Linked DNA regions of Tribolium castaneum. Each later gene encodes a partner of the first gene's protein in a complex. Links are inferred from orthologs where the notes say so. Each region holds a gene or a part of one and is shown on either strand. Other genes may lie near its edges.

Region 1 (16,946 bases):
AAAAAGAAAACAGGTGAGTTGTGATTTTTCAGCACCTTTGGCATTTTCAGCCTGTTTCAGAGGCTTTGTTATACGAAATGTTGCCTCGGCCTGTTGCCGAACAGCTGAAAAGGGGGAACAAAGTCGAAGCTGAAAGTTTCGATTGTGTGACAATTTATTTCAGCGATATTGTTGGCTTTACAGCGATGTCGGCCGAAAGCACACCCTTACAGGTGATTTCACGAGTGTTGTTATTATTTTTTCTTATAAATTTTCTCAAGGTTGTCGATTTTTTGAACGATCTTTACACTTGTTTCGACTCAATCATCGAACATTACGACGTTTACAAAGTGGAAACAATCGGAGATGCCTATATGGTGGTACGAAATAATTTTCCTTTGATTTATTAGCAGTCAGGAACAGCTGGACCTGCAGTTTATTTTTTTATTTTTAGGTCAGCGGGCTTCCAATTCGCAACGACAATCAACATGCGGCTGAAATTGCCTCCATGTCTTTACATCTTTTAGCGGAAGTTAAACAGTTTACGATCAGGCATAGGCCCACGGAAAAATTAATGCTCCGAATTGGGATTCATTCGGGTAAGGAAAAACTAACGCGTTGTACGAAAACATTTCTTATTTTTATCGAATTAAATAAAATCACCCTTCTTGTTATTTTATTTTTCTTTAATTCCCACAAGAGGGAAAATAAAAACATAATTTTTATTGCAATAAATTCCATTGCAAAAACAAACAAAACGAAATACGTGTTTGTAAAAAACTGACAATGGTTTTACGTTTTATTAAGTAATTCCCGAACTGCTTACAAATATTTTTATTATTATTATTTGCCATGGTTTTTTTAAACATTTTTCTTAGGCCCAGTGTGCGCGGGTGTCGTCGGTCTAAAAATGCCCCGATATTGTTTATTCGGCGACACTGTCAACACCGCAAGCCGCATGGAATCAACAGGAAGCCGTAGGTCACAATTCCAAAAGCGTCATTTAAATTTAAAATAAAAAATTACAGCTTTGAAGATTCATTGTAGCTCGGAATGCAAAGACCTTTTGCACAAACTGGGCGGTTACAACCTCATGGAGCGCGGAATGGTCTCCATGAAGGGAAAAGGCGAACAACAAACGTACTGGCTTTTGGGGGAAGACCCCTATTTCCGTAACTTGCGCAAGGAAGAGCGCTCAAAACGCCGCACAAAAACCGAGACCAAATCGCTAAACACCAATGGTCACTTCATAATCACGCGAAGCTCGCTCAAAAACAAAAACAGCATAGTGCGCAGCCCCCTTCCACGGTGCTCCTCCTTCGAGAGCCCCAAAAAACTGCGTTTCGCCAGTGGTGACAACCTGGAGAAAAAAAGCGATTCCAATTTTTTGGAAGTAATCTCCGATAATAGTCCGTGCAAAAAATCCTCCAATTCGCTCGTTGAGAATTCGCTCGACTGTTGCAGCGAAGCCTGGAAGACGTCCAGCACTTCGTGTCCGTGTATCGAAAATTTAGCCAATTCGGCTGCAACTTTGGCCCAATCGCAGCTTTCGATGCTGTACAAAGACGAGAAAAACGTTAAACTGGTCAGACCTACGTGTTACAGTGTTCCCATGTTGTGTTCGTTGGCTGTTCCCCGACCGGTGATTCACACGATTTCGGCGCCCACTAGCCCCAGGAAGCAGGATTTGGTCGATTTGACCAAATTCCCAGAGTGTGAGGAAGTCATCCCCTGGGCGGATTCCACGCCCTTGCTCAAAATCACCAAACCGCAAGACTCGGAAACTGGTGTCTAGTCATTTTTTATGTTTGGATTTAAGGCTCGTGTTATTTCTATTTATTGATGTTTGTTGTAATAAACGTGCGTATCGGATTGCGTTTTATTTATTTAGATGGCACAGTCGTGACACGAACGCGGGTCTAGAAAACCCGTTCCAGTATCAGGATTTTAGGAATTTGAAGAGTTCTTTACAATTTTGCTGATTATACAACCAGTAAAACAGGTTTTTCAATTTTAATTATAGAGATAATAAAACAGTAAGAAACATTAGTTATTTTTATTATTATTCGCTATAAAATTTAAATATTATACTTAACTTTTTGTGCTTGTGTTGCAAATGTGAAATGGTATTTTCACAATACGTTATGCAAATAACTATTGTTGGATTTGGGGTATAATGAGAAGATTGTCCGATAAGAGAACATATAACTAATGATTTATTTACAATAGAAATAATTGTACATAATATAATAGGTACATGGCAGTAAATAAAATGGAAAGTTACTAAAATATGTTGCATCTAAGTTGAATGTATTGATATAAAAATGAGACGGGTTGAAAACGGATACACGTTTCCTAAAATTTGAGTAAAGTGTACGTAATGAGATCAGGACCGCATTATATGATTCAAGGACTAGTCGATCCGATGAGTAAATAAAATTCGAGCCCATTACCGTAAAAATCAACAGATGAAAAAATATCAATAGTATAAAACAATAAATATGTTCAGTCTCTCATTAAAACGTCTTAAAAAAGCTCACCACACAAACAAATGGAGGAGGAAAAGAGGCGATTTTAAAAAAAGCAGTTAGTCATCATAATATTGCTAAAATTGCTTCGAAATACAAGTGGCGTCCTAAACACACCAATAACTATTTCATGTTTGTCATTTTTAATGCTATTAAAAAAATCCATGGCCTGGAAAAACGTATCACAAATTCGGACCAATAAGTACGGCAAAAAACCCCAACTAAAGACAACTATCAGGATGCTGACTTTGGGATTTGCGCGATTTTCCACTTTTCGTTTCGGTTTTCACTTGATCGATGCTCATTTTGCGGGGATTCCCCAGCGTTACCAAAGCACTAGCTATAGCCAAACCGGCCGACTGGCCCTTAACTGTGTAAGGCTCACAACCCGTCGGTAACCTCACTAAAAGACTCAAAACGGCCGCTTTATTACCATAACAAGGCTCAAGTGCAATAGGACTTGGGGCATCGCGCTTTTTTCGCTTCAAATCAATCACCGAAATATTATCAAAATCGAGCTTTTCCTTCACTTCCAACTCGACCAAAACTTGCGAAAACGGACGCGATGCCATTTGTTCCATCTCAACAAAAAGTCGCTGTCTGCGACGGTACATATCATACCTCTGCTTAATCTTCCACAAAATCGCAGCGAAAAGCAACAACAGGAGAAAACACGACGAAAAAGTGATAAAAAACTGCTGCAAATTTAATTTCGGGTACTGGGAGAAAGAAATCTGGATCCAAAGTGGCGGCTGGAAATCGTAAACATAAACGTAGAACGTGGTCAAGGTGATGTTATCCTCAACACCGAAATTATAATCGGACTTAGGGAATTTCGTCCGGAAAGTGGTACAATTGAAATCTTCATAAATCGGCTTCTCTTCCTTTGAACCACCACGTCTTATTGTTATGTTCATTTTGGCAAGAACGGAACACGTTATGGAAAAATCGGCATCGATGTCGGCCTTAATCGGGGAATTTCGGAAATTTATTTGGGTAAAGTGGCGATCTTCTTTCTTCGACAGGTTGAAGGTGAACTGATAGTCGATTGTTAAATCGTCTGAAAAAAAATGACAACTGAAATGTTGGCAAAAACTAACAGATAAAAAGTTAGTTGTTATTTTGAGTGATTTTACGAGGTGAAAAACTTACAATAACACGAATCCTTGTTAATCGGGTCGGAATTATAGTGATTAGTGGCATCACACTTCTCACAATGATCCCCAATCAATCCCTTTGTCGTGCAATAACACTTGCCCGATTCTGGATGGCAATGCGTCGCCTGCCCGTTACATTCACACGGTTGGCATTTTCCCCCATTTACGGGATTCCCCCAATACCCTTTGACACAATGCTCACACTGCGTCCCCATCGTCAGATTCTGACACGGTAGACAAACACTCGAATTCGCAATACAACTCGCATGTCCATTACATTGACACAACGGACACGTTGTAAAATGCCACCGATCTGGAGGACAAGTGGACGAAGGGAGCGAATGAGTGTGTAATGTTGGACCAGCATATCCTCCAGGCATACATTTGCCAAGACCTGTCCTGGACCCATCATCGCACCATCCACAAGCGGGGTCATCGCGACATTTTGCACACGTGGAGTAGAAACTGCATTGGGAGTTTTCGTTTGCGCCTCGAGTGCGACATTTGCTTCCAACGGTTGTCCATTCGCGACACTGACCATAGGGGAAGCTGGCCGTGTAGGCGTTTTTGTCAACGCAACGGCCTTCGTTCTGGCACCAGATGCACTCCTCCTGAGTGCAGTTGAGACAGGAATTGTATTCGGAACAGACTTTTTGGCATTGGATGGGTTCCGCAGCGGCGGCGGTTACGTTGGAAGGCAAGGGGTGGGTCACGCATTTGGCGTGCTCGAAGCGCCATCTAAAAACTTACCTTGAGCGATTTGCCTTAAGAATAACGAAACGATATACAAATAAAACGTCGAAAAATGCTTGTAAATATTTGTATAACAGTGGGCAAGAGTCCAACAAAAAAATAAATAGGCAAGATAAGAGCCTTAAATTCTCAATAGTAAATAATTTTTTTAACAGCTTATTAAGAGTGGAAAACTCAACATTTTTTCTAACTGATTAGTGAATTTTTCATTTTAAATTAAACGATTCAATTTTTTGTCGATTTTGTATCTCGTTTCGTCTCCGTATCATCAAGACTGCCGCTTACCTGCAGAACGGTTGCGAGGTGCAAGCCGAGCAAGTGTGCAGCTGCTTACAAATAGGACTAGGATCGAGCGGACATTGTTCCAATTTCGCAATATTGGCCTCGGAGCTATTTCGACATTTTTTGTTGTGCATACAGGAATTTCCACACCATACGCACTCGCTCGTCGTTTGAACGCAACTCAAACAATCTTCAAATTTCTCACAACGATTCTCATTCTGGATTAAACTTTGCGTAATCATCGTACGACTCAATTCCGGACACCGGATTATCAACCCATCCAATTGAACCGTCAAATTCTTCACCGGAATATTCTGAATGGCCGTACAAAAATTATTCCGCATATCCCAGACACACTTAACTCCGGGCTTCTTACTCAAACACTCATTGGAAGTGATAAAATTTGTACAACTCCCGGGTGTATATTTTAACATATCGGACAACATTTGTCCGTCAAACCCTCCATAAATGTACAACGAACCCTCAAAAGTAACGGCAGAATGACCAAAACGAGCCAAATCAGCGTGAATATCCTTTGGCACTTGTAACACCTGCCAAGTATCACACGTAACGTCATAAGCCAAAAACTCCGAACTGTAACACTTTGCTCCGAAACTGTGCAACGTATCGTTGTGGGTATTTCCCCCAAAAACTAGCATTAAACCCCCCGAAATAAAAGTCGAAGTGTGGAGGAAACGAGCCGAAGGCGCGTCCTTCAACAACACCCAAACTCGCGTATTGGGATCATACGAATAAAGACTTTTACTCAAAACTTGAGCCGACTCATTTTCCGAAACCACTCCTCCATAAACATAAATTTTCCCAGTCAAGGGATCCCAGGTGGCTGTATGTCCATAGCCACCCTTGACCGGATATCCCTTAGTTGCAACTATGTGCCACTCCCGTGTACCAAAATAATACTCCTGGACCGTATTCAAGTAGCCAAGATGTGGCGAATGACCGAATAAAACAATCATACGATCGGCTTTCCGATTGGTCGAATTCTCAATCACAGTGGCTGTGTGTCCGGCCGATTTCAACGGCCCACACATCAACACACTCGAATTGCACGCCACTGCTTTCACAGTTATATTCTCCCAAGTTTTGGCATTAATATCAAAAGCCCACACTTCGGACGTGGGCCCCCGATTACCCATCACACCACCATAGAGGAAGATTTTATCGCCATAGATGACGGTCGAGTGACCGTAGCGTTGGGAGGGACTTTCGGAAATGTATGGTGTCTCCCAGACGTTCCCTGAAACGCCACTGGTTTTTTAACTGTTTCCATGACTACGATGTTGTTTCCATGGATACAATTACACTGTTTCCATGGATACGACATTGTTTCCAGTGGCGTGCGCGACTTACCGTTAAAATCGTATACATAGAGCATAAATCTGCGACTGTAGCTCTCCCCGGCGATGACGTACATGGAGTCCCTCCACACGGCAGCCCCATGTGAGGCCGATCCCGGAGGCACAAAACTTTCAACATTGACCGTTTCCCAATAGCCACTGGGGGCGTATTGACTGCAATCGTCCCCCTTGTAGTCACTTTCACACCGGCACCCGAATTCGGGCTCACAGCGGCCTCTGCCGTCGTGTTGTCCGCAATTATCGGGGCATTTTTGAAGGTGGCATGCCACCCCCGTCCAGCCCCCGTTGCATGTGCACACTTGATCAATGCAAATGCCGTTGCCGCTGCAGTCCACCCCCGATATTTTCGAGGGACAGGCGTTGAGGCGGTAGGTCATGTTGAAGCCAGACATGTTGAAAGCATCGTCGCTGAAGAAATGGACGAGGGCGGAGCCCGAATAAGCGACGATTTCTGGGATGCGGCGGATGTTGTAGTCGCCTTTGTACATGAGACCGCTGAAGACGGCCAGAAGGGGCGAGTCCACGCTGTCGCCGTCGAAGATGTACAGGTGGTCCCAACCGCACTCCGTGGCGAACTCCTCCAGGTGGAGGGTGATGGAGGTGTTGGGGGCGTCGATCAACCAGGAGCATTTCACGCTGAGAGAGTAGTTGCCCAAGCCGTCGTGAATGGTACCGGTGGAGGTACCCAAACTGAAGCAAGGAAAAAATTAATTTTTTTCTTGACATTTGTTGCGGTATATGTCTATGGAGCCAGCCGACTAGACCGAGTAATAGTGTCCCCTTACCGCACTTTTCCGCCGCAAAACTGGCACTGGGGCCCCTGCCAGCCGTCGTAACACACACAAGTCTCATTTTTACACACCCCATTGCCGCTACAATCCGCACATTTGGCCTTAACAAGAGAGCAAACATTTAAAACCACAACAGCACAACACAAAGCCTGCCACACGTAACATTTTCGACGGTATTTCGACTTGAACAAGAACAAAAACATTTGGAAAATTTCTAACATCTTATTACCACCATTACTTTACAGTTGCATTACGTCGACGTCAAAACAAAACGGTAAATTTTAATTGAAAATGGACGAGTGGCGGAATTATCGATGCGAGATTAGAACGGGTGTTAATGATTAGGTGATGGTTTCTTCATTTCGGTGCTTTTTTGGCCAAGGGGTGACGGTTTTTTCAGAGAGATACTATTTTCCATATTTTTTTGACAATTAACTACATAACAGATGAAATGTCAACTGGCGGAAGGCTTGCACACGTAAGCGCTTAAAGTCACCAGATTAGGGGGCGGCTTTTTATTTTTAAGCAAAAAGCTCGTTTTATCGCTTTATCGAAGTAAGAACACTAAAAACGGACAGGATTATCATTTTAACGGCTCGGTTTGCGATAAAAAATGATACAATCCGATTGGCGCTACGCCACTCTTTTAACATTCCAAGTGAATGTATTATTGGTGGCCCCATAAATCACACATGTGGCTTCAATCTTTAATTAAATCATTGTTAAAAATACTGAATGCACAAGACAGCCGATTAATTTGCATGATATCATCACCAGATGTTTCCAGATAAGAATTATCAAATCATTCGACGAGTGGATGGACCTTGATTTAAATAATTTCAAGTGGTTTATAAAAAAAGGGCAACCTTCTCGCTTTTTTGATAAAAGATTTTTTATCTCATTTGAAAAAAGTAGTTTGGGCGCTTGTTATCGCAAGGTTGGCAGCACTGCGAAGGTAAAAAATGGCGTGCGTCAGCTGTTATTGATTTTTTGATCAAAACAACAAACATAAAAAATGAACTGTGAGCGATAAATTTGGTAAAAAAGTCCTTATTGCTGCAAAACGAGTGATAAAACAGGCGTGTGAGTCCTTTTTTGTTTCTAAAATTAAGTCGGTTTTATCAAGGCCAAAAGGTTATATGAAATTGCTTGAGTAATCTTGGCCAAATAAGTGATACTTGTTCAATGAAATTGGTTGTTCCGGTCAATATTGACTCTCGACACACATTACATTATATTTCCTTTGTGCTTGAAAGGCGCTTCTGATTTCAGGTTATCACCATCACCACAAGAAAGATGCAAAACATTTTGTTAGTGAGCGATTGACGAAACTTGCTAGACGGTGAGTAAACATTAATTAATCATCGCTAAATTTGTTGTTTATCACCGTTTGAAAAAATCATTGACGCGAATCGTCTTCAGTTATTTAGCACGAAAACTGTGCCTCGCTGCGATTGGCCGTAGATAAGGATTCTTGGTCAAATTAGACTTTTAACCTTGTCCATTCAATTGGTTAATCCTTATCGCTTGATAAACTCGTTCCAATAAAAGACTCTCCATCATCTTGCAACGGCAGTTTTCTCGTCTTAATCGAGCCAAGCTGTCTCGCGTTTCACGAAAAAAACAACACCGAGCGTTCGCCCCCCGTTTCCTCCTTGCGTTTTTCCAACCAGCACCCTGTCGTTAACAAATTCACCCCCTTGACAAACCCTCCACAAATGGCTGATCCTGGTGAAAGTTTAATAAGTGCCTTCATCGAATCCCTAACGAGGATTCACATCGTTGAAACAGCGGGCATCAACTTTCTAAAATTCCCCCAATTCCCAGTCGTCCAAATGCTAATGAAAGAGTTGAATTTGTGTGCACACGATCACAGCTTCGTACCACCGTGGTAAAATAATCAAAAACTAAAAACGAGTGCCTTTTATCGTCACTCAACGAGTGAAAAATCCACAACAGATGGGCGATTGAGAAATTCACAAAGAACGGACTCATAAACTATTTTCTTTAGTTCTTAAGTAGTGTTATTAGTGGGGTGAAAATGCCGATATTTGCCTTGCAGCGTTCTTACAAGTACATGATGTACGCCACCAAACAACCCTCTTTAAGGATCAATCAAGCCGATCTCAAGTGCAAAAATGGGTGCGGATACTATGGAAACGCCGATTGGGACGGTAAGTCCTCCATTACACGAGGCCGAAAAGTGTGTTATCGAGTTTTTTATCACACGGGTCATTGTATTAATTAATCGTTACTCCATCGTGAATTCACTTGAAAAAAAAAATAAAGACGTGTTGAGCTTTGCGTTCCTAATATCCTGAGAAAAACTGATGACAATTTTCACAACAAACCCGAGAAAAAAATTAAAGTGGAATTTATCAAACGATTTTTTGTCCCAAATAATAACCTTCGATTAAATTGGCCATTGGGTACATTATTTTTTTTAAGACTTAACAAAACCTTGATACGGAAATCTTCATTCTCATCAAGTGGTTATTTAACGTATATATCAAGTGCTTTTTGTAGCACTTTATTGGCAAATGGGAATTAGCTTTTTTTAATATTTTGATATTTACGATATAATTTTTGCATTCTTCTTTTTATCTTGTACTATTGAGAATTTAGCGCTTTGTCAGCGTGTATTTTTTGGTTTACCTTTTGCTAAAATACAGTCATTTATTTAATTCGTTGTCAGAAAACTATAATAACCCGTAGTCCATTATTACACAAGGCCGGAAAATGTGTTATCGAATTTTTTCCTTATCACACAGGTCATTGTATTAATTAATTATTACTCTATTGTAAATCGTGATAAGTTGGGTTTTGTTTTTCTTATCGCAGAAATTTCGAGAAATATTGACACAAACAATTAAATATTTTTCGTCGCCCTTTTGATGAAGCCGACGAAAAAAACATTAAGTAATTAATTCATCTTCGTTAGGTTACTGTTCAAAATGCTACCGCAACCACATGGACCAGGAGCGCCAACGAAAGGCGCGCCAAAGTCACTCCGACCAAACCAAAGTCTCTGGTTTTTCGAAATTCGAAGAAAAGAAGCGCCAACAAACCGACAAGAAGAACAAATATTTGAAAAGTTTGCCCGTTTTTCGCAAAACTTCAAGCGCTAAAGGTAAAATTGTTAGTGTTTGCAATAATTGTGTAAAAATGGGGACGGTGCAGATTCGGGTCGTCCGGAGCGTCATTTGGATTTGAGACAAGCGAATCCAGATGCTGATAAATTGACGGCTGAATTTATTTCGCTCTATGGGGTTTGGGGTGAACAAGTCCGAAGGGACTTTTTCAAGTGTGTTCAGTCGTTCACAACGAAGATCTACAGCGAGTTGGAGAATAAACCGATCGAGGATATTGCCGAAATGGCGCAGAAATATTACAATTTGTACAGTAATCGGGTCAATAATACGGAGACGTATCAGGAAGTTACAACAGACGTTCGGGATGAGTTGTTGGATTTTTTCGAAAAGTACGTCATGGTCAGTCTTTACAGGTTGGTATTGTTTTTATTTGACCCAAATTTATAAACGCGCTTTACATATTTTTTAAAAACTATTGTTAAATTTTCGTTAAAAAATGAGTTGAATGTTTTTCTTCTAGTTGGCTGTTTTGCCCACCGAGCACCAACGACGAAGAGAAAGACTTGATAATACAAGAACGCATACGCAAGCTTAGTTGGGTCAACGCACATCATTTAGACTGTTGCATTAGCGAAACTAGTATAGAAGTTAGGGATTTAGTTTACACAGCCATCACACATTTACTCGGAATGGATTCAATGAAAGCACCACAAGACAAGCTGTCTTGTGTTGTTTCCTGTTGTCAGAGTGTCGTCAAAGTTTTGCAACATTGTCAAGGAGGTCCAGTTAGTGCCGATGAATTTTTACCAGCTCTCATTTTCATCGTCTTGAAAGCGAATCCGGCACGACTGAAAAGTAACATTCTTTACGTAACGCGTTTTTGCAACGACAGTCGATTAATGCAAGGGGAAGCCGGTTATTATTTCACTAATTTGTGCTGCGCCGTTTCGTTTATTGAAAATTTGACCGCTGAGTCGTTAAATATGCCTCAGCAAGAGTTCGAGGCTTACATGAACGGAGAGATAACATCGGTAAGTGCCTGGGAATCGGCACTTGTGGCATGCGAAGGCATGCACCAGCTGTGCGAACACTTGTCTCTCCTTAAAGACTTGTCGATTCGCACGAACACGGTTCAAGACGAAACGAAAAAACTAACTGACGATATTTTAAAATTCAAAGAGGAGATGAACGAGAAAGTTAATTCGGTTCTGGAGCGCACTCCACTTATCATCAAGCCGCGTAAAACCCCAGAACTTAGTGAAAAGGTTGACGACACTCAAAACAGTCAAAATTTCTATTTGCAAAATCTCCAAATCGCCACAAGTAACATCGACGATGCCAAAACTAAATTACAACTAGACATCACACCGTGCGTTAGTAAAACATCGCCGACTGACGATCACAGTCTCTCTAAAATCAACTACGATATCGATTTTTCCGACTTAAGTGGCGAGAGTAGTTTGGCTGAATTGACCCCAGAAAAGAGAAAATCGCCAAGTTTCACACCGGATCCCTTCAGTCCAGTTGGGAGCAGTTGCCCGATAACACAGGCTCCTTTAATACCGACAAAACCGGACGATTTTGTTTTACCGTTCGTTGAAACGCAAGAAACTCTATTAGAGAAAGAGGACGAAGGACCGAATTTACCATCGCCGATTAAACCAATGACGGCACAATATTCGGGGTTTTCCAAACAGGGGTGGCAAATACCCAGCATTCCGTGCATTACGGGGGAGCTGGGCGCCAATGCATCACAAGCCAATAGTCAGACGAGTCAGGATAAGGAGAATTAACTGTATCAATGTTTTAAATATATTTTATTCCCAATTTTTCGTTAGTTTCATTTATTTCCATAGTAACAAACACTTATTATTCGTCACTATGGATACCGTGATCAATGCCATGGCAATTGTATTGTTACGACCATAGCAACGCGTCATCACCAGACGATTTTTTTTGTATCATTCACCTCTTAACCCGCAATAAAATACAACTTCTAGTTACGAAATTTATTTTTAGTACTTTTTTTATCTACACAGTTGATAAAAAAATCAGTGACCTAGAGACATGTCTAGGTTTGCGGGCAGTTAGACTCCGCCCAGTTGGGTACATCCGGCTTTTCCCCACCTCTAGCTGTTTCAAACTCTTGAGCCCTATGGTTCCTTTGATGTTTTTTCATGCTGCTTGAATCGTAGAAACCTTTTCCGCAAACGGGGCACACGTAGGGCGTCTCCCCCGTGTGTGTCCTCACATGTACTGTTAAATTGCCCTTAAGGGCGAAACTTTTGCCACAGTAGGAGCACGAAAAGGGTCTTTCGCCACTATGTGTCCGCAAATGATAGGTCAAATGTGACAGTTGAGTGAACGATTTGGGACAATAACTACAATCGTACGGTTTAAGACCGGAATGAATTAACATGTGAGAGTCAAAACTGCCAACATGAGCAAACGATTTTTGGCAGATGATACACCGGTGCGGTTTTTCCCCCGTGTGGACTTTGAGGTGCGACTGCAGCGCCGCTTTCGTGACGAAACCTTTGCCACAATCGCTGCATAAAAACGACTTTTCGCCGTGCGTTAAACTGTGCGCTTTTAACAAATGTTTGGTTTTGTAACCACGCGAACAAATCTCGCAAATATGTTCGCGCGCTTCTGGAGTTTCCTCTTTTTTGGCGTGGTGTTTCGTCCGAGTGTGTTTCTCCAAGTGGGCGTTGAACGGAACGAGGCGCTTGAAGCCACGCCCACAGTACGTGCAAAGGAATTTCATTGGGTCGGTTTGGTCACGTGCGTATTGATCGTCGTGTGTGTGGGTTTTTTCGTGGGCGTGGAGCGACGTGGCTTGGATGAAACCCCGCCCACAGGTGGAGCAAACGTGGGGGCGTTCCCCCGTATGTGTCATTTTGTGGCGCTTTAAATTGCCTCGCATACTGAAACTCTGGAGGCAGATTTCGCATTGGTAGGGCTTTTCCTTCGTGTGGGTGCGCATGTGTTGCGTGAGCTTGCTGCGAGTGAAGACCTTATCGCAGATTTCACACTTGTGGGTTTTTGGATCAGTCTTAGACTTGGGTTTTTCTTCGGAAGTTTCGTTTTTTTCAACTTCTTCCTCCTCAATTAGCGTTATATTGCAAAATTCTTCGTCTTCACCTAGTTTTTGCTCGGATTGTGGCTGTTCAAGCAATAATTTTAAGACAGCTTCGTTATCCTGACACTGTTTTTTAAACTCGTGAAAACGGTAAAGTTCGTTCAGGCATGATTCACATATGTTCTGAGGCAACGAATCATTTTTTGTCACTTGTAAAGTTACGCAAGACTCCAGTAATTCAACTGCTTTAAAGTCCCCAATTATTGTGTCCATGATGGGCCTTGTTTTATTGTCCCCGAGACACGTGCGGCAGATTCGGTCAAAGTCACTCACAGTTATGGCTTTGGAAAAGTATTCACAACTCATTTTTTGTGGTTCTTGCCGAATAATTAACAGAAAACCATTTTTATGACCACTAATCTTACACCGATTTTATCAATGAAAAGGTGTTAAATAACACGAGATAATCACTTTAATTCAAACACCAACTCCACTTTTTCTAGTTTTAATACACCTAACGTAGGTATAAGCTGGGAAATTGAATTTTTTTGATAAATAAAATAATCACGTAACCTCACTTCCCGTGACAACTTGTCACGAAACTGGGGAATTTTATTTTTTTGGCGCCCAATTTAAACACGTCCAAACATTGGAAAGAAAATTTTATTGAGTACTTGAAAAATGCCAATATCTGTATCCATTTAGTAAAAAGTGGTGGAATAAACAAAATAAATTAGTAAGGAACCAACAACTACACTTAAACGCTACTTAAAAAAACTAGCTGACATTCGATGTGAATTTTGACGGCTGTATGATGGACGTTTTTCTCGCGGGTACGGTCTCAGGTGTAGGGATTGCCTCGCCAGTGGTGAATCCTGGCACAGGGACAGTCTTGACCTTATTGACACCGCCTAGCTTCTGCTTGGCCATTTGGTAATCGCCCGAATCGAAAAACTTCTGCCCTTTGGCCAGGCGCTTCTGCAGGAAGGCCGAATGGCCCCCCATGAGTCGGTTGGGGGCGCCTGACGACCCCCCGTACTTGGCTTTGAGCTTCGCCTCTTCCATTTTCTCCACATCGTGGGGGCTCATCTCGGGGGGAGTCTCTGACTCTTGATCTTGATCGCTCATTTCTAAACGCAAGCGTTGATCGAATCAACAGGGAATTAACTCAATTACCTCAAAATTGTAACAAGAGAAATCGAAATGACAGTTGGACAACAATAAGCGGTGACAGTCTGACAGTTGCTAATGACTACCAACGTGATAAAAACGAGATTCAAATTCTACACCAATTTATGGGAATTAATTGCGATTACAATTAGGAAATTATTGATAAGAGTCGGCAATTTATTGGTATTGTAGTTTTTGGGATTCTAGAATCTGGAGTTTGAACTAGTAGTCCAAAAATATTTTTTTTATTAACACAATCGCGTCACCAACCGCATTAAAAAGTTCCCAAACAAACGTCAACGTCAAAAATTAAAAACTCGTGCTTTGGAGGAATCGCCTCACAAAAATAATAATTACGTAATCAAATAACACAAAATGTAAGTTAAATCATACAAAGGGATTACAATTGTCGGTATGAACTTGTCGTTTTTTCAAATCTTGTCTCTAGATACGAAACAATTGAATAGTTTGACAGTTTTGGTGTCAAGTCGCCTATAAATATATTTATACCGATTTATTTATTTTTTGGGCTATAAATAGCGTATTTATACACGTTTAATGCGCCTTAGGTACGTATTTGCCCCGTTTTGGTACACATATCGATAATTCGCCTTAATTTTTCGAGGATTGTAAGTTGGGGTTAGATTACCCCGGACGTCAAGATGCCCACAAACGAGCAGGTTTTTCACACAATAATTTATGTCAATCACATGTCGCATGTCGCTTTTTATCCACAGAATAAATGTTTCTAAGTTGTAATGTTTTGTTTCAGTTGCTGCTGCTAGACGCATGGTAGATTGGCACCCCCTTGTTTGATGGCCGCTTATATAAACCGCACAATTTCGTTGATGGCGGGCGATGGCCCCCACAATAAAGCCATTCCTGCGAGCATGGTTGACCCTAGAAGCGCCCGACAGCCCCCTGACAACTCCCCTTTGCAGATTTTTGTCAAAGCCAAGAAGAAAATCAACGATATTTTCGGCGAGATTGAAGACTATGTTAAAGACGCAGTCGAGTATATGCACGGTGAGTTGAAAATTTGGCGACCTTGAAATGATCGCAAGTTGCAGAAATCGAGAAACTGCAAGAAATTGTTAACCAAGAAAGGGTTAAGAAAACTGAAGACTTTGTGAGTAAAGTGCACGGAATTCGCGATGTCTTGAGTCGTGACCACATGAAAGTTGCGTTTTTTGGACGCACTTCCAACGGGAAAAGCTCAGTTATTAATGCAATGCTGCGCGATAAAATCCTTCCCAGCGGAATTGGTCACACGACTAATTGTTTCCTACAGGTAAAGTTATTTTTGCGTCTAAAGCTAGAATTTTAAAAATTTTAAATCAATTTTTTTTCTTGAATTACTATTTTTTTTGACAGGTTGAAGGTTCACCGTCCGATGAACCTTACTTGGTTCTTGAAGGTTCCACTGAACACTGTGCTGTGGAATCTGTTGGCCAATTAGCGCACGCTTTGTGCAAAGAAAAATTGAACGAATCGCAAATGGTGCGCGTTTATTGGCCGCGAAATCGCTGTCTTTTGTTACGAGACGATGTCGTGTTCGTTGATTCGCCAGGAGTTGACGTTACGCCGAATTTAGACGAATGGATCGACAAGCATTGTTTAGATGCTGATGTTTTTGTTTTAGTAGCGAATGCTGAATCTACACTTATGGTTACGGTAACAAATAACCAAATTTTTTTGAATATCTTTTCGTTAATTGAATGTGTAATAGGAAAAAAATTTCTTCCATAAAGTCTCGACACGACTCTCAAAACCAAACATTTTCATTTTGAATAATCGATGGGACGCTTCTGCCACCGAACCGGAATTTTTGGATCAGGTGGGTGTTGAAAATTCACAAACACCTCGATTTTTGTTTGCATTGCATTGCTTAATAATTTTTGTTATCATTCTCCTTGTTTTGTCGCTTTTTTCTTGATAAGTTTATTGATTTTTTTTGTCCATAATTACATCAAATTTTCTCACATTTAAGCATTGCAATGAACAGGAAGAGGTGAGTTATTAGATTCACAGTGACACTTTAGAATTTAAATCTTCTATTAAATTAATAATTTTTTCTACAGGTCAGACGTCAACACCAAGAACGTGCCGTCGATTTTCTTGTCAAAGAACTAAAAGTTTGTACACCGAAAGAGGCCGAAGAACGAATTTTCTTTATTTCGGCCAAAGAAGTACTACAAGCACGATTAGCTGAACAAGGACAAACCGTTTCAACACCGCTAACTGAAGGTTTCCAGACGCGTTATTTCGAATTTCAGGATTTTGAACGAAAATTCGAAGAATGTATTTCGAAATCGGCCGTCAAAACCAAATTCGAACAACATTCACAACGCGGAAAATTCATAGCAAAGTGAGTACAGAGTCTAGGGAGTACTATAGGTTAGGAGGCGACGCGAGATGCAAAATCGTACCCAAAAAAGTTAGATGGCAGAATAAAAATTAGGGCGCTGCGAGCCTTTTTAGCAACCCTGTAACTATAGAGTTACAATACCAAACTGACACACTTTGTATAGTTCATGATACAATTTTTACATTATTTTAATCTCTTGCCACTGAGAATTAATTTATCTGCCTGCAATTTTTTGTTCGCCTTATTTAAAAGTGATTAAGTAATTTTTTTCAGCGAACTTCGCGAGGTTTTAGACGATATTTACAACGACGCGCAAAAACTAAAAGACGAGAAATTGCGTCAAAAGAAAGAAGTACACGACAAAA
Region 2 (15,798 bases), on another chromosome or scaffold:
GGTTTTGGAGGATCTCAAGAAGAAGCAAAACAAAGAGGACGTGCTTAATAGGCGGCAAGCGAAAAAGAGAGCCGAAATACAGGATAGGACTATTGAAACTGAAACGCCGAGTAAAGTTAAAAAAGTCGAAGTTGAAGCAGAAAAGGAGGATAAAGAAGAGGATAATATCGGTGAGTTGTATAAAATTTGTGGGATTTTCGTACAAAAGTGCTTACTTTTTAAATATTTTTTTTCTTTTCTGCTGCTTTAAAGAAATGGACGTGTCTAGTGAAAGTGAATCCGAGACTGAAAGCAGTTCTGAAACAGAATCGAACAGCACTGATGATGGTAATTTTTGTCAGTCTGTAATCACTTGTACAGAAATGTTTAAGCATGAACGAAAAGCAACGTAACATTAGAATAGCTCTTTGTTTAGTATTTTACGATTTTTTTTTCCTTTCCAGAGACACTCGACATGATTTTGTGCATGCCAATACAATTAACAATTTTGTGCAAAATAATAACTTTTCTAACGCCTGAAAACAAAGAGAAACGCGAATAATCCACCAATTAATTTAACACTTCTAACGTCAAAAATATTTATCACATATTACACTAAATATTAGAAAATAATTTTTAAGCGATAATTTTTTAATTATTGTATTTGTTTACAGAGAAGAAGAACAGAGTGAATTCTTTAGATGCAGTAAGCATATCAAATAAGCCCGCAGAACCTACAAGACTGCCACCTAGTGTGCCTCCTAAACAATTAGTTGATTCAAATAACGAAGATAATGCGCCCTCTTGGAGGAAGCAGAACACACGACAGACCAAAGCCGATTTACCAAGTCCTGTAAAAACAATCGGTAATTTTATAATAGTAGTTGTTGAATAAATTTAAATGTAATGTTTTTAGCCGATTCTGTAAATAATGAAAACGACGTTACCCTCAGAAGACCCACTAGTTTACAAGCGGATAAAGAGTGAGTGTGTTTTTTTTCTTATCGCTTTTTATTTACAAAATAATAACTCCTTCGCAAAATGAGCTTCGCCTATTAACCAAGAAATTTAATATTTTTCATCTTGCAAAGGAGAGGAAATTAATAATAGCTTATTTTAATCGACTATTCTCCAGTTTTTACTACTTTTATTTCTTTTCGAATGTATTGTAGTAGAAACTGATTGCATCTAACGCTCTGACACTTGCTTGTATTGTTTAGGTTCTACTCGAAATACGAGGAACTGCATGCACGCATTAAGAAATATAGAAATAGCAATGACATTATTCCTTATTCGACTAGACCTCATTCCGACATTATCCCAAATTCCTATTCAACTTCTCAGCAGCATTACAGGTATGCACGTGTTGTTGTCGTCTTCAATTTTTTTTATTATAAAGCGATGGTTTTTTAACCAAAGGGCAAATATTAACAATTAATCCAACAATTAATGCTTGATGACCATCGCTTTATAATAATTCGTTGTTGAGATGTATTTAGTGCTTTTTTACGATTGTGTAGGAGATTAAATGTCTGCACAAGTGTTTCGTCACGATTTATTAGCATTTGCATGAAAAACTTCTCTTGATAAATATTGAAATAAATTTTCTGATAATCTAAAATATTACAACTGATTATGAAAGTTTATCACTTGTAACAAATCAAACAACTTCACTTTTTTGTGACAAGTCATTAGTTTTACAACTTGGGAATTATTAATTAATTAAAAGTCGTTTCAAATTGTTACGAGCAGTCAGAATTACAACCAAAAAAAAGTTATCTGTTCTAAGGCGAAAGTCACCAGATGCCAGTAATTGTTATTTTTATATTTTTCAAAAACTGTCTGATGGTGAGGCTGGTCAAGTCATTAAAAAAAAATACTATTTCAATAGTTTTTCATTAATATTGGCAATATTTTTTGTCGCTAAAGTTTCAGACCAATACCAAATCAGGTGGTAACGTAACAATTTGGAACGAGTTTTATTTACATTTTTTATTCATACGAAATAGAATAAATAATAAATGCATTTTTATTGAACAAATTCCTTGTTTATTCCTTCTAGAAGTTTGAAAGAAGACAGCAACGAAAATAACAGTACATCATCAACGAAAACATCACCGGTTATGAGTCCAGTATCTAATAATCAACCACTTCGAAGGTAAGCGTTTAGAAAAAACTAAGAAATATCGGATTTAGGCTTAATGTGTTGTCAGTTCGTAAATTTATTTTGTCAATTCTTTCATTAGCGGTTTAAAATTGCCAATTGGCACAAATCAACCTGTCACAACCACTAGCACTCCAACAACTCCTACAACACCTGGTGGCAATAGACTTCAAATGTTTAAAAACTTCTTCAAGTATGATACTGTTTTAACCGAGTTTGTGTGACGTTGCTTACTAAATGTTTGACTTGAGTTTCGCCAATTTTTACTTTTTCTTAAAGTTGAGCTTTGTTTGATTAATTTTTTTCCAAAGGTCGTTTGTGCCACCCGTTCGTGACGAAGAAAGTGAAACGCAACGCAAAGCTCATGCGAAACGTGTTCGTGAGACGAGGCGTTCGACTCAAGGTGTAACATTGGAGGAGATAAAATCGGCTGAACAATTCGTTAAAAAGAAGAATCAACCGAATTGCAATAACAACAATAACGAGCAAGTAAGTCGTGACTTCATTTTTCAGTTTTATGGCTTATTCATCCGGGAGTGGTGAATAATTCTTGTAATAATTTTTTTCCATTCATTTAATAAATCATATGTAATGTGTACTAACAGTCTGGAGCTAACGGGGATTCCCCTAACGGAGTGAGTGTGACCGCTACAATAACCACTGCGGCACCTACTGTTATAACACGTGATACTGAAGAACCCAGTATTACTCATGAGCGTAGGCCGTCGTGGAGGCTGAAAATTGACAGTAGTAGTAAGGTGAGTTTTTAGGTGTTGTGAAAGTCACTGTGGAGCCGCAAATGGATGATTTTTTTATCACTTCTTCTTCGCTTTTTTCTTCTTTTTTTTTAATGATTGAAACATGCAAAATTACCAAAGGAGGAGGTTCTTGATAATACGTGTACCGCTTTTGGTTAAACTTTCAAAAGTTACATTTGAAATGTGAATGAAAAATTGATTAGAACATAGTATTAAATTTTGCTAAAATTAATTTTTGTCATATTAGCACGTTTTTCATAAAAAAAACGCAATTATTCGAAAATTATCCAAAAAATAATAATTCGAATTTAGGCGAAAATCGAGTTATTTTTGCTTTTTTTTAAACTTATTTTGAACTCAAAACTCAGTTTAAAAATTCACTAGGCTAAATCAAAAATGACATTATTTTGGCGACATATCTGGAAAAATTGTTGCCCAAAAATGTGAAATTTCGATTAAAGTAAACCACAAAATCGCCGAAATGGGTGCACAATTTTTCAATTAGACAATTCTATCGTTCTATAATAGTAAGTGCCATTCTAAACAATGAACCAAAGAAATTATATTTCTCACAGCGACTTAATATTAATTAATTCATTTCCAATATAAAGACTTGAAAAAAATTGATGAATTCTGTATGAATTGAGATACATGTTTCTAGGTCGTATTATCTGAATTTTTAAATTCTTCTTTATTTAATTAAGCAAAATTTAGTGCTAAAACTTAGTCTTTGTATTTGGACTTTTTTGGCCTGTCTATTAATTAGACCTTTGATTAAAATTTAAACTTGTGAAATAAGAATTTAAAAGTGGAATCTTCTTTTTTTGTTTTTTTTTTTGGATTACGAACTTATTGGCAGGTAATTATGTGTGTTGGTTTTGATTGCTTATTAACATCGGTTTACTTCGTTAATTTAGTGAATATCAATCCTTACTGTAGTCATTTTTTTTCAGATTTGCGTTTTGGTTTTTCTTCTAAGCTTATACTTAATCTGTAACCCTATCCAACATATTTTGTACTTAACGTCACTTTTCTTGTATTATTACGTTAAGCATGCATGTTAGTGTGTAATGCTATTGTTTGTATTTAGTTGTAGCACAGCAAAAAATACTGATTTATCTGGAGTGTCATAATAATAACTAAACCGATCTCGTTACTAGTACCAAATGAAATTCTAATAAATGTTTATTGAATAATAACCGTTGTGTTTAATAATTTTTTGGGGTCTATATAGTTTAACAACACGGGGTTTGGGCATAAATGTGTGCACGCTAATACTTTTTGTTGGATGTAGTTTAAACTGGAAGATGCAACGAAATCCTCTGAACCACCAAGCACTCCGTCCTTTGTCCGTCGCACCGTCACACAAAATACCACCACGAATCCTAGACCGTCATCGGCACCGGTCGAAACGGCCGAAACTACGGTCACGTTACCATTGAGAAGACCAAAAACTCAAGATGAAAAAGGTACGATAAAAAAAAATTGGACGAATTTTAACCGATTTTTACACAGAACAAGACAAAGAAAATGACGTACGCAACGCTCAAGCCACTCTCGCCACACAGGCGGCCATCCAACGAAGAAGGAGGCCCAAGAGGAGGTCCACAGGGGTCGTCTCGTTTGAAAATATGGATGTGAGTGTGTGTAAAAAATCGCGATTTATATATCTAGGGAGCAAAGTGTATAATTTCCTCCCGTGGGCAAAGTTTGCAGCCCAACACGAAGCAGAGGGTTGTAATTACTCTCGTGACATATATATGATTTTTTTTTAATAACGACTTTTATCCATTTAGGATATGGATCAAGATAAGGATCCGTCAGGAGGTGGTGATTATGAAGATAGTACGAAATTAAATCACGAAGAGGTAAGCGATGTTTTTGCGTTCGATTAATTTGTTTATTTCGTTCATTTATTTTCGTTGGCAACGGTTCGAATCTAATTCGAATTTTTTTCTCAATACAAACGCACCTGAACGTTATTTTCTTAGTATTAGAAAAACCTTAATTATTTCGTAAGTGGGAGGTGATGAAAGGAGCAAGGTTGTGGAAGTTTCACTAAACATTATCTATATTTTTAAAAAAGTTTGTCATCGCTTAATTAAAAAATACAAACAAAATCAATTTTTAACCAAGGAACTGTATTATGAGTCGACTAAAATTGGAACCTTGTGGCCAATACAATGCCAACTCTGATCTCATTGTTATAAAGTTTAACGCCCATACACTTACATAATTTTTGTGATAAAAATATTTGATAAAAAGTACGCATGCATTGAAAGTGTTACGTCTGTGTGAGGCATTTTTTAATAAATCGTAATTATTTGTACTGTAACGATGATGCTTCGAATTGAGGTAAGAACTCGACTGTAATTTGAATTTTTGTTGTTGTTTTAAATTGACTGGCGAACTAATTACGTCTCGTGTAATTGCCATATTTCGGCGCTATTATTAAACCAATAATTTGGCAAACTTGCAAAATATCATACTTATTATTAGCAGTGTTGTGTCGTTTAAACTTTTTTCTCGTAGTAAATTAATTAAGAAACTTATAAAATTTAATTTTAAACTAAACGAAGTTATCTTTCGCTCGTTAAATTCTTCGGCTTAAAATAACTGTACCTAAATATACGAATTATATCTCGAATATCCACCACCATCGTCCCCTTATGCGAAATGTAAAATAAACAAATCAGGTTTAATGTAGGTTATTAAAATCGCAAAAATAGTGAGAATAAATTTCGTCATTCATTTCGGTTTTATTCGCACGTGCCGTTGAGACCTTGGCCAGGTGCGAGTTTCATTTATCATAAACGTTGGATTGGCCAGAGTTCAGAAAATTGACAAAAAGACCAGAAATGCCAATTATTCGTCGTGTATGACTTTTTTTCTAGATTTTCTTTACGTCGCAACGTTACGTGGGTGCGTTATTTCGGTGGTTTTGACGAACAGGTTCATACCTTGAAATAGATTTCTACGTAAAACAACAAATTTAAACAATGTTTATTTAACACACAAAAAAAAATTAATTGATAAACTAAGGGTTGTGCTTGTGTTTTTTTTTTCTGGTCGTTTCAGGAAAATCAAAATTAGACGAAGATAGAGAGTCGTTTAGTGGGATTTAAATAGCTTGCCAGTTTTGTTGGTGTGTGTATATTAGAGTTTCCACGAGTTCAGTCTGTTTCATGTTCGAGTTCAATGCGAAACTTATTTGTATACTATGATTTTTTTAAGTCTATAAATTGTAGTAATTGACTTGAGTTCGGGAAAATTGTGTTTCTTGTGTTGTTTTTTAATCGAGAAAAATGTCTTTTCACGGTAAACAACCGGTGCCTCCTTTGAGACGTCGTTCATCTTCAGCGGTTCGAAGCAACGGAAATTCCTATAGTAATAGACCGAGGAGTATGGGATATTATGGGACAAATACAGTCGGTTATACCTCTCCTTATACATCGTCAAGTCCTTATTCTTCGTCCTCGTCTTATGGCAGTTATAGTTCGAATTACAAAAGTCCCTATTTTCCCAATGGTTACAGGGGAAGTTCCGGTTATGCGAGCATAACAATTCCAGCGAAAAGTCTAGCAAATATAAATCTAGTCACTCCGAATTATTCGAAAACGTACGATACAGGACATAGGTCCCGAAGGGATTTATCTAGAACTGGAAGTTTTAATCGCGAGCGGGATCGTTCCTTGTCCAGATCGCGTAATTCTTTAACTGGTGGTAGTAGCTTGGGATCAAAATCAATCAGTTTAAATTCTTTAGCGTCAGAGGGTTATATTGTACGAATTTTACAAAATTAGTGTTTTTTATTGAGTGTTTCACACTTGTTTGCAGAGTGATAGGTCGAGCAGATCTCGTTTAGGAAGCACTTCGGATATTAGGAACGAAAACGGCGAAATTGACTATAAAAAATTGTATGAACAAGCACTTGTCGAAAACAATGAACTCAAGGACAAACTGAAAAAGTCAGATCAAGAATTGAGGGATACAAAACAGACACTGGAGAAGCTCAAAGTTGTGGTAAGTCTTAACTTAAAGTGAGTTTTTTCGTTTGAATGAAATTATTACAGACGAGTAAAAATTCGTTATCGGAATTAGAGAAACGCGAACGGAGGGCAATGGAACGAAAGTTGAGTGAGATGGAGGAGGAATTAAAGGTAGGTATTTGAATTATGTTATAATTTAATTCTAGTTTCTTCCAGCATTTTTTTTTCTTGTACGAATATTATTTCGTAGTTTGCAGCAAGCTTTTTTTGGATGATTTTTTTTTCTTTTGGACGGGAATTTGATATTTAGTTTAACCATTAACACTAACAGATTAACAGTAACAACACCACATAAAACACGAATTTTCTTGCACAACAAACAACAAACAATGCACAATTTTTGTGTCGCAACGATTATTTTTCGATGACACAATGATTTTTTTACTTGTAAAATTGGAGCACACCATTTTATTTTTAAATTTGAGTTATTGGTGGTGAAAAATAATACTCAGTGACCCTAGAAATGTGAAAGTGTAAGTTGTTGAACAAAATTTGATGTTACATTTCCGCTGTCACTCAGTGTAGTTGTGAAAAATGACTTGCAAATATTGCGTGTAAAAATAAAATGCGGTATTTTTTGGTGTAAATGAGTTAGAGTGTTTGCTATTTTTGCTCACATCATGTGCATTTAAAAACGTATAAATAGCAGACTTATTATCACGTGATATGTTTGTCTTTGGTTATTTTTGTTTTTCATTTATGGTTTATTTTTGCGAATTTCTTGACCTGTTTGAGATAATGATTTAGCAGCAGCAGAGAGAATTGTATTTGTCTGTTTTGTATAAAAAAGAAACGGGTCAACGTGAAACCCAAATATTTTATAAATAAGCCGCCAAATCTAATTCCGTACCAATTGCCTAATACATAATTAATTGCTTTTCATGTGTCGCTCTAATTTTATCAGTAAATTATAAATACATAGCGCATTAACTAAGTATAATGGAAGCTTTAAATCTAGTGTAATTTTCAGGATTTTTCTCCTCGTTATAAATGAATAAAAGTTGTATTTGGTACACGTTGTATTATTGTTTTAGCAATTGCAAAAATTGAAAGCCGAGAATGAACGTTTAAAGGCTGACAACAGGTCTCTCACTCGTGTCATCACCAAACTTACCAACTCTCCAAAAAAATAGGTAAAACTCGTTAAAACGCCATGCAGCTGATTTCGCCCATTTTTTTTAATGAAATTGTTTCCTGTTGTTCATTTTGTTTTATTATTGTACACTTGTTTTGTGTTCAGATGTTGGATGATGGTAGAACGCATATTTACACACCTAATAACAAAAAAAGTTTTTCTTTTTTTAAATTGCTAACATACTAACATATTCTCTCACATTTCCAATTTTGTGCAGTGTTTTTTGTTTGAATGTTTGAGCTTTTTTTCACGGACCGATATTGACACACGGCTTAATTATTCGTACGTGAGCATGTGTTTAACTTACTACAGTCGATTGGCTGTTGCTAATTTGCGTATTGATTTTTTCAGCAGTTGGATATTATGAAGGTAGAAAATCAAAAGCTAAAGGACGAGAATGGAGCGCTTATTAGAGTGATTAGTAAGTTATCGAAATAGCATAAGCCTTAGAAGTTTTAATTTTCCTATTGCATTTTACTCTGATTACTAGAACTTCGTAGTCCGAAGTCGTTTCCTTCCTTTTTTTGTTGTAATCAAGTATTATTGTTATTTTTTATTTATTGAAAATTGTACGAAACGAATGACCACATTCAAGTAATGTCTGCTTCAAATCGGTGAATTTGAGGCAAATTTTACATTTTGACATAATAAGGCATTTGTGTTGGATTGCTTGTAGTTTGCTGGTTGTGTGATATTATTTGCTTTTTATTTATTTTGACATTGTAGGAAAAGACATGTATTAAACACTTCATTTTTACCTACTAAACGAACATGTCAATTTAAAGTATATTTTTTGTAAAACATATAAACATGTTGTATTATATAAATGTATTTAAATGTACTGTACTTTGTGAATAACTTATTATTAACAATTGTTGTGATTTTAATGTTACAAAAAATATATAAATTATTTGTTTTTTCTTGATATTTGTTTTATAATGCTTGCATTTGATCAAATATAAGCATTATAAAAGTTTGTTTTCCTTAGGTAATGTACAAAATCGATTTTTAACGAAAAGTTTAAATTGTTAGAATCTAGTCCAAAGATGAAAAACTTGCGACAAATTTTGTTGAGCACTTTTCACTTGTTAGATGTTTTTAACTTTGAAATTATGCCATAAGGTGCTAAATATCACTAAGTTCAAATCAAAACTTTACATATGAATTTTGTCTGTGACCATAATAATAAAAATTGGACTGATGAATGTTTTGTTTCATTAGCGAAATTACATTTGTACATACAGTTTGTTAATTTCTAGCGTTTTAACGTTTTATTTCATTGAACTTGTGCCTTGCTTCTCTTTGTATTTATTATATAAATTTTTAGTTAGTGTGTAAATTATTTCATGTATTTATTCCTTGTTTAGAGGCTGGTAGAATATCATGTGAATAGTGATTTTATAGCTGATTCTTTAATAAAATCCTGATACGAATTGTGAGTTTTTCTTGGGACTGGTAGGTAAGTATGAAAAAATTCTGTACATATTTGGGTTTATTCTTATAAAGCATTATTTGGAGGAAGCTCCAAATTACAACCTTGACTCTCTCGTTACATTTTTTGACTTAAAACGAAATTATATACAAAAAATAACAACACAAATTTACGAATTGCTACAACATTGTCTTGTGGGTGGTGGAGGAACTTGATCATCGTCAACAACAACAACATTGCGACGTTGCGAATTCTGTCTAGACAAGGGCGCATTTTGCGCTTCTTTCTCTTCAACAGTCTCTAACATTTTCTGCGTCAGAACGAGAAACATCTCCTCAACGCCTTTATTCAATTTTGCCGACGTTTGAAAATGTATCGCTCCCACTTTAATCGCATAGCTGCAAAAAAAATAATTAAAAGTTATTTGAACACAAGCAGCGTAGTGATGAGAGAGTGAAAAACCTAAAGTGTAACTCACGCTTCGGCTTCTTCCAAGCTAACGTTTCGGTTCTTCTCAAGATCAGTCTTATTTCCAGCAATCACTAGACATATATCAGCCCCCAACATCTTCCGCAATTCCTTCACCCAACTTTTGACTTTCTGAAACGAATCTTCATCAGTGATATCGTACACCAACACTGCACCGTTTGACGATCTGTAATAAATAGGGCCTAAGGCGTGGAACTTCTCCTGACCTGCAGTGTCCCAAATCGCCAAATTTATGCGTTTGCCGTCAATATTTAGTTTTTTGTTGAGAAACGAAGCCTGAAAAAAAGTGTGTAAAAGTGAAAATTTAACTTGATTAAACACCGTACCTGGACCGTTGTTACATGATTCGTGTTGAATTTATCCTCCACATACCTAAGTACCAAGCTGGTTTTCCCCACACAACCCTCCCCCAACAAGACAACCTTAAAGTTGTGGGAAGCCCCGCTGGTGTTGTTGGCCATAGTCAACGAATTTCACTGACTCATTAAATACAATTACGCACAAATGATTTATTAGACTTTTCCCCACAATCAACAATTATTTTCGATTACATTTTCACAATCAGCTGATTGTTCTTTATGTAGGCGTGACTTTGCGTACCTGTCGCAATTAGTTTAGGAAAACGCCGCTAGGGGGGTTTCAAAATTTTTTCAATTTTCGGCCAAAACCACATTTTTTCAGGACTTGGTTAATTGCAAATGGTTATTTTTTGACAAAATTTTCGGTCCACAATAACACCGCGAAGAATCAAATCGATTTAAGACGTGTAAACAAGTCGGTTGTAAAAGGAAACGTCAGCTCAAACTTGACGTAACACCGGAAGTCGTACTCAAATCAACAACTGTTTTTGCGTTTCTCAGGCAAAAAACGTGACTTGTGCCCAGAATTCAGGCATGTTTCAGGTTGCGATAAATTAGGTGTGAATTGTGGGATGCGTATTTTAGGGAATTAGGCTAAAATTGTTTGAAATTCGCCCCGAAAGCTTTAGGCTGCGCCTTGAGATGCGCAGTGGCTCATCTGTGTTTCTAGCCGTCATCTGTGTTGTATTGGTAAGTAGACAATCAATTTTTTGCGTTAAATTTCTCAAAAACTACGTGAAAATATTGAATGATTCTCTCTCCTGAGTGTTAGTTTAGGTCGTGTCAATGATTGGGAACGAGTGTCATTGGGAATTATCACGTAGTTCATTTAAAATTCGCTTTTTTTCGTTGGCGTCACATCGGTGGTAGAGAGCGTTTGTTCAAAAGCACAGCTCCAAGTATTGTAATCAGGTCAAATAATTGGATGTCTTTGGGCGATTTTTGCACCAAATCAGTCGAAAACGTGCAATTGTCGCCCAAATTTTGGTTTTGTTGGATTATTTCGACGGGCGATATTAGTCGGGACGTTTGGCACGTAGGCCGCTTTCTCTTATGCACGTGTTGAAGTGTTCCAGTTTCGGGATTGCATCGAGATGTTTTCGATTTAAAAGGCATTATGTAATGGAAAAACTGGAGGAAAATCGGTGTGGTCGTGACACCATTTCTCGAAGGAAAAATAGAAAGTTGTGGGCAAAACACTAGCACAAAAATTGATTATTTTTGAAAATTGAAGCGTCACGTCAGTGGAATTATTACTATTTGTTTGCTAATTTGGGCCCCAGTGTGTTAACCCTTTGTCTCACACTGATCATATATGAATGAATGGGTTACGCCCACGGGAAATTCCATAACTTTGTGTCTGTTTTGTGTGATTTGGGCCTTTAATTTTTCGATAGTTTTTCCCCCCATGGGCCGAAAATGCACGATCTGGTCTCCGACCGGCTTCTTTACACCACGCGTTGTTCCATCATGGCCGGCGTCAACGCTCCACATAATTTTCATCGTGAAATTGTATGAAATGTTACCGAAATTTCAGTTATTTTTGTGTTTTTATCACGAAATTTGTTATAGCATTGAGAAAAAAATCGAAATTTCGTTCTTTAATCGACTCGGAATTGATCAAAAAGTTACCCCCCGCCGTGTTTTAAAACTAAGTATGTGGTAATTAATGTTTTTCCGTTTGTAACTGGTTGTAGGATGTAGTAAACATTTTATTGTTGTTAAAAGTAAATAAATGAAAATTATTGATTCTGGTTTAAGTGTTATCAATGTTTTTGTTGCAATTGGGGTTTTTTCACTGTTTGCGGAAATTGTGATTAATTTTTGTCATCATTTTTATCAACAAATTGAAGATGCAATTATTTATAATGTTGTTCTACTAATAATAGTAGCTCAATCGAATCGCTTAATGGAAACAAAAAATCAACTTCCAACTCTTAAATTATGTAATATATGATCATTAACGAAAAGAAAACTAAATTTTAACATAAAATAAAGTTAAGAGAGAATAAGTTGTGTTGTGAAATGGTTTATTTATTAAACCAAATTTAAATACATTCATGGGTAAAAAAATCTGCAGATTTATTTCAGTTTAAACAGTAAGTTTAGAACTGAGATCTCCATGATGGAGCTTGAAAAACGGACATTATATGGTCTAGAAAGTTTAGAAAATTAAGGAGAAAAATACCAGAGAAATATCAGTTTATAAATTCATTAAGCTTGCAACAAAAAAATAGAGGATTATGGGAAACGGAAGGCTAAAGAACTGTACAGAAATCAGAAAAAAACAATAATTTGCTGTTTTTCAAAGCTAAAACAACCGTCATTTTTTAAACATGTATACTTATTTATTTGTGACCTATTTGTCCTCAAAAGTGTCGTTTTGCCATTTTAAAAAATACTGATAAAATTGTGAAGAAATTTTCCTCTCCGACTTGTTGCAAGTCGAGCAACTAGTTTCAATCAGGAAAAATGGCTTAATTAAAATTATGCAAAATAGATGAGCTTGTTTATTTTTGTAAGTGGGTTGTTGGACGTAGCGTTCTTATTTCTTGTTCAATAAGTTCATGATGTTTATATATTAATAGAAAATGGTGTCAGAATCAAGCTTTTTTTTGGTGGATTTATGTCAATAATTGTGATTACAGTCATTACAAAACGAATGATAATTTTGACTCGTGTCTTGATCGATCCGTGTTGTAGGTGAATGCCCTTTAAAGTTTGTCGACTTTTTAGTCGCGACAACGATGCTGTTTACGATTGCACAAAGTAAATGATGCTTCAAAACTCGTCGAAATCACGGTCGTCTTGTATCTATTTTAATCCTCTGGTTTATTATATGGTCCTGTTTTGCATTGATGGCGCCTTCACCCAACGGCCTACTACCACTGTCCGCGACCTTTATCGTTTTATTTGTCTCGAGATGCACTTTTTGGGGTTATTTTTAGCAAATCGTAGGTCATGTTTTCGTAGAGAACTTATCGGTGTTTACACAGAGATAAAAGAATCGGTTTCTTTGCCGCGATGTAAACACCAGTTCTATAATTAGCTCGAATGATTGATAGCAGTTTTGTGAAACGAAATTTCATTTTTTTTATTTTAATTCAGAAATAGTTTTACTACGATTACAATCCTTGTTATAACCAAAAAAAAAAATAAATAAAAAAATGCGGGAAAACATTTATGGTGTCACAGCTTGATAAGTCTTATCTAGTCTTACAAATTGTGAACATTAGATAATTGATGTAATTGTAGGAAGTGCATTATTAGACGACTTGAAGAACTGCAAGTTATTTTTATTTTATTAAAAGTATTAATCAGTAATGAAACGTTGATATAATACAATTTGCATTCCGTCTATAAATAGCAGGAATAAATTGTTGAGTGTTGAAATACCTGACTATTACGAAATGTAAAGTACGCCTCGGTGCATTATGTTTACGTCGTAAAACAAAATATCAAAACGTTGACATAATTTCGATACGTTTTGTAATTACACCGTATCGCCGAATGCATTTTATGAATAAGTAATTTATCTCACGATAAATGTACAAGACATTGGTGTATTTATAGACAAATCTGTTTACATTCATTTGCTCGAATAGATAAACTTTGCTCGGTATGACAACAACAATACCACAAAAACAATCTTTTGCATATTGTAGAAATGAAACGTCGTGGTGCAACGTACAAATCAGCAGGTAAACGAAAATTTCGTTAATTTTTTTTCTGTTGAGGATTTTAAAGGTCACTTGTGTATGAGAGTTGTAAATTAAAAATTGCAAATGCAAGGCCGGTTCGACCTTCCTTTTATTATCTCATTCAATGTCACATGTTTGAAAGGCTTGATTTGGGCCCTTTTTACTCCCAATCAACAACAGGTGTGACGTTTTCTGTTGGATATTTTTAACTTGACACACTTAATATACGATTATGTTACTAGGGGGATAATTTTTTGGTTCATTACCGGTAATTAGTGCATTTATTTGTTTAAATGTTTGGAATTTATTAGAAAGTGGGAAATATTCCATTAAAGTTAGTTTCGTTCGAAAAGCCGCCTTAGGATGGATGTAGATTATTCTAATGTTCATTGGTCGTTGACCTGTTTATACATTTTTATTTGAGGGTTCATTGTAATCTCAAGGTTGTATGATCTTGGTTCGTTGTGTTGCAACGACACATTTATGAAAATTAATAAAATCCTTCTTTTGGGACAAACTAAATTAAAGAAAGAAAAAAATATATTTTTAAGAGATTTTTTGATGTAAATTGTTAAGGCTTGAAATAGTAACATGCTGGCTTGGTTCTGCTCTACTTGAGCTAGACAGTGAAACAAAAAATCTTAATTAAATCCGTTTAATTCAAAACGAGAAAGAGAAATTGCATTGTTGTCTGGTGTTTTTGAGATGAGACAGCAATTTTATTAGGAAAAGAAAAAATAAAAAAATGAAATGAAACCTTTTACAAGTTGTTTGTATTTTTTTCAGATTTTTATTAGTCTAGGCGCTACACCCCCTGCCCCATCATGTTTTCCTTCCATAGACCTAAGGTGTATAGATCGTCAACAGGATGCTGTATTTGTAAGGCAAAATCAAGCAGGTTAGTGTCAAATTCCTGTCAAAAATTAAACAATTTCAATGATTTTTCTCCCTTCCAGTTCCAGATTTACGGACAGTAAAAAATACGAAGAAGACTTTATGAAATGCTTCAAATTGGCTGAACCCCGTCAAGGTGAAATTTGCAATGCTTGTGTCCTTTTGGTAAAACGATGGAAAAAACTCCCAGCCGGCTCTGATCGCAATTGGAAACATGTAAGTTTCCAAAAAAAAATTTGTTTACGCAACCGTGTGTCATTTGTTTTTTGTTGTAAAAAAAAACTTACGATGCTTTCACAAACTAAAATGCAATTATGGTATCGAAATCAGGTGGTGGATGCGCGTGCCGGTCCCGGAATGAAGTCCATGTCGAAATTCAAAAGTAAGAATAAGAAAATCGATGAGAATTGCGATAAAATCAAGAAGAAGAAGCATTTCGAACGCGAGTACAGTCCGTTGTCGGATAACGAAGATGTGGATATGACTGAAGTTGATTTTTTGTGCGAGGATGGCCCCAGTGGGGGCTCCAGTCGTACGGCGAGTCCTAGAGATAGTGACAGTGAGGAAAATGTGGTGAAAAATAGGAGGCATAAAGGACAAGCGAAGAGAAGGGATGGAAGTAGTCTTCCGGATCTGAGCGATTTTATCTGTCCGGAGTATTGGAAAAGGTGGGTGTTTTATTTATTATTATTTTAGATAATAATTGGTGAGTTTATTGTGCAGAGAGGCGATTTGTTGCGGGACAATCTTTAGAGGAATGTGTGGAGAAATAATCGTTGATAATCGATTTTTGAAAGCTTGTTCGGCACGTTTAAGGTGTAAGTTGGCAAGTCAACAT

The links.
Region 2: the proteins of Rabex-5 (region 1) and ras-related protein Rab-21 are in contact, whole or in part, in a crystal structure (PDB 2OT3), measured with the Homo sapiens proteins. The link is inferred for Tribolium castaneum from reciprocal best matches to the Homo sapiens genes RABGEF1 and RAB21. Residues at the interface, in NP_001273991.1 of Homo sapiens: Leu253, Cys254, Lys296, Phe299, Asn300, Lys303, Pro309, Ala310, Ser311, Ala312, Asp313, Phe315, Leu316, Pro317, Ile320, Leu347, Met348, Thr349, Gly350, Glu351, Gly353, Tyr354, Tyr355, Thr357, Asn358, Cys360, Cys361, Ala364, Phe365, Ser373; in NP_055814.1 of Homo sapiens: Ser19, Phe20, Lys21, Gly26, Glu27, Gly28, Lys32, Thr33, Leu37, Thr50, Thr51, Leu52, Gln53, Ala54, Ser55, Phe56, Ala71, Trp73, Asp74, Thr75, Ala76, Gly77, Gln78, Arg80, Phe81, Leu84, Ile87, Tyr88, Asp91.

The regions. Positions count from the first base shown.
Region 1 is NC_087395.1:26,373,576-26,390,521, forward strand, and holds Rabex-5 (rab5 GDP/GTP exchange factor), read left to right. Parts: upstream 1-8,418; 5' UTR 8,419-8,910; coding exon 8,911-9,043; intron 9,044-9,810; coding exon 9,811-9,999; intron 10,000-10,049; coding exon 10,050-10,374; intron 10,375-10,481; coding exon 10,482-11,754; 3' UTR 11,755-11,791; downstream 11,792-16,946. Other genes in the region: guanylate cyclase 32E, read left to right, coding at 1-13, 61-212, 261-359, 434-578, 858-956, 1,008-1,774; dsd (attractin-like protein 1), read right to left, coding at 2,729-3,567, 3,660-4,402, 4,703-5,957, 6,071-6,768, 6,864-7,090; zinc finger protein OZF, read right to left, coding at 12,033-13,409; endos (alpha-endosulfine), read right to left, coding at 13,821-14,171; transmembrane GTPase Marf, read left to right, coding at 15,029-15,239, 15,284-15,504, 15,588-15,887, 15,943-16,050, 16,204-16,224, 16,295-16,581, 16,855-16,946. UniProt on the Homo sapiens protein: Rab effector protein acting as linker between gamma-adaptin, RAB4A or RAB5A. Involved in endocytic membrane fusion and membrane trafficking of recycling endosomes. Stimulates nucleotide exchange on RAB5A. Can act as a ubiquitin ligase.
Region 2 is NC_087394.1:37,243,341-37,259,138, forward strand, and holds ras-related protein Rab-21, read right to left. Parts: upstream 10,786-15,798; 5' UTR 10,468-10,785; coding exon 10,333-10,467; intron 10,283-10,332; coding exon 9,996-10,282; intron 9,916-9,995; coding exon 9,687-9,915; 3' UTR 9,560-9,686; downstream 1-9,559. Other genes in the region: Mbs (protein phosphatase 1 regulatory subunit 12B), read left to right, coding at 1-170, 253-327, 654-845, 896-962, 1,200-1,334, 2,042-2,137, 2,226-2,336, 2,455-2,632 and 7 more; SIN3-HDAC complex-associated factor, read left to right, coding at 14,891-14,964, 15,023-15,176, 15,291-15,628, 15,684-15,798. UniProt on the Homo sapiens protein: The small GTPases Rab are key regulators of intracellular membrane trafficking, from the formation of transport vesicles to their fusion with membranes.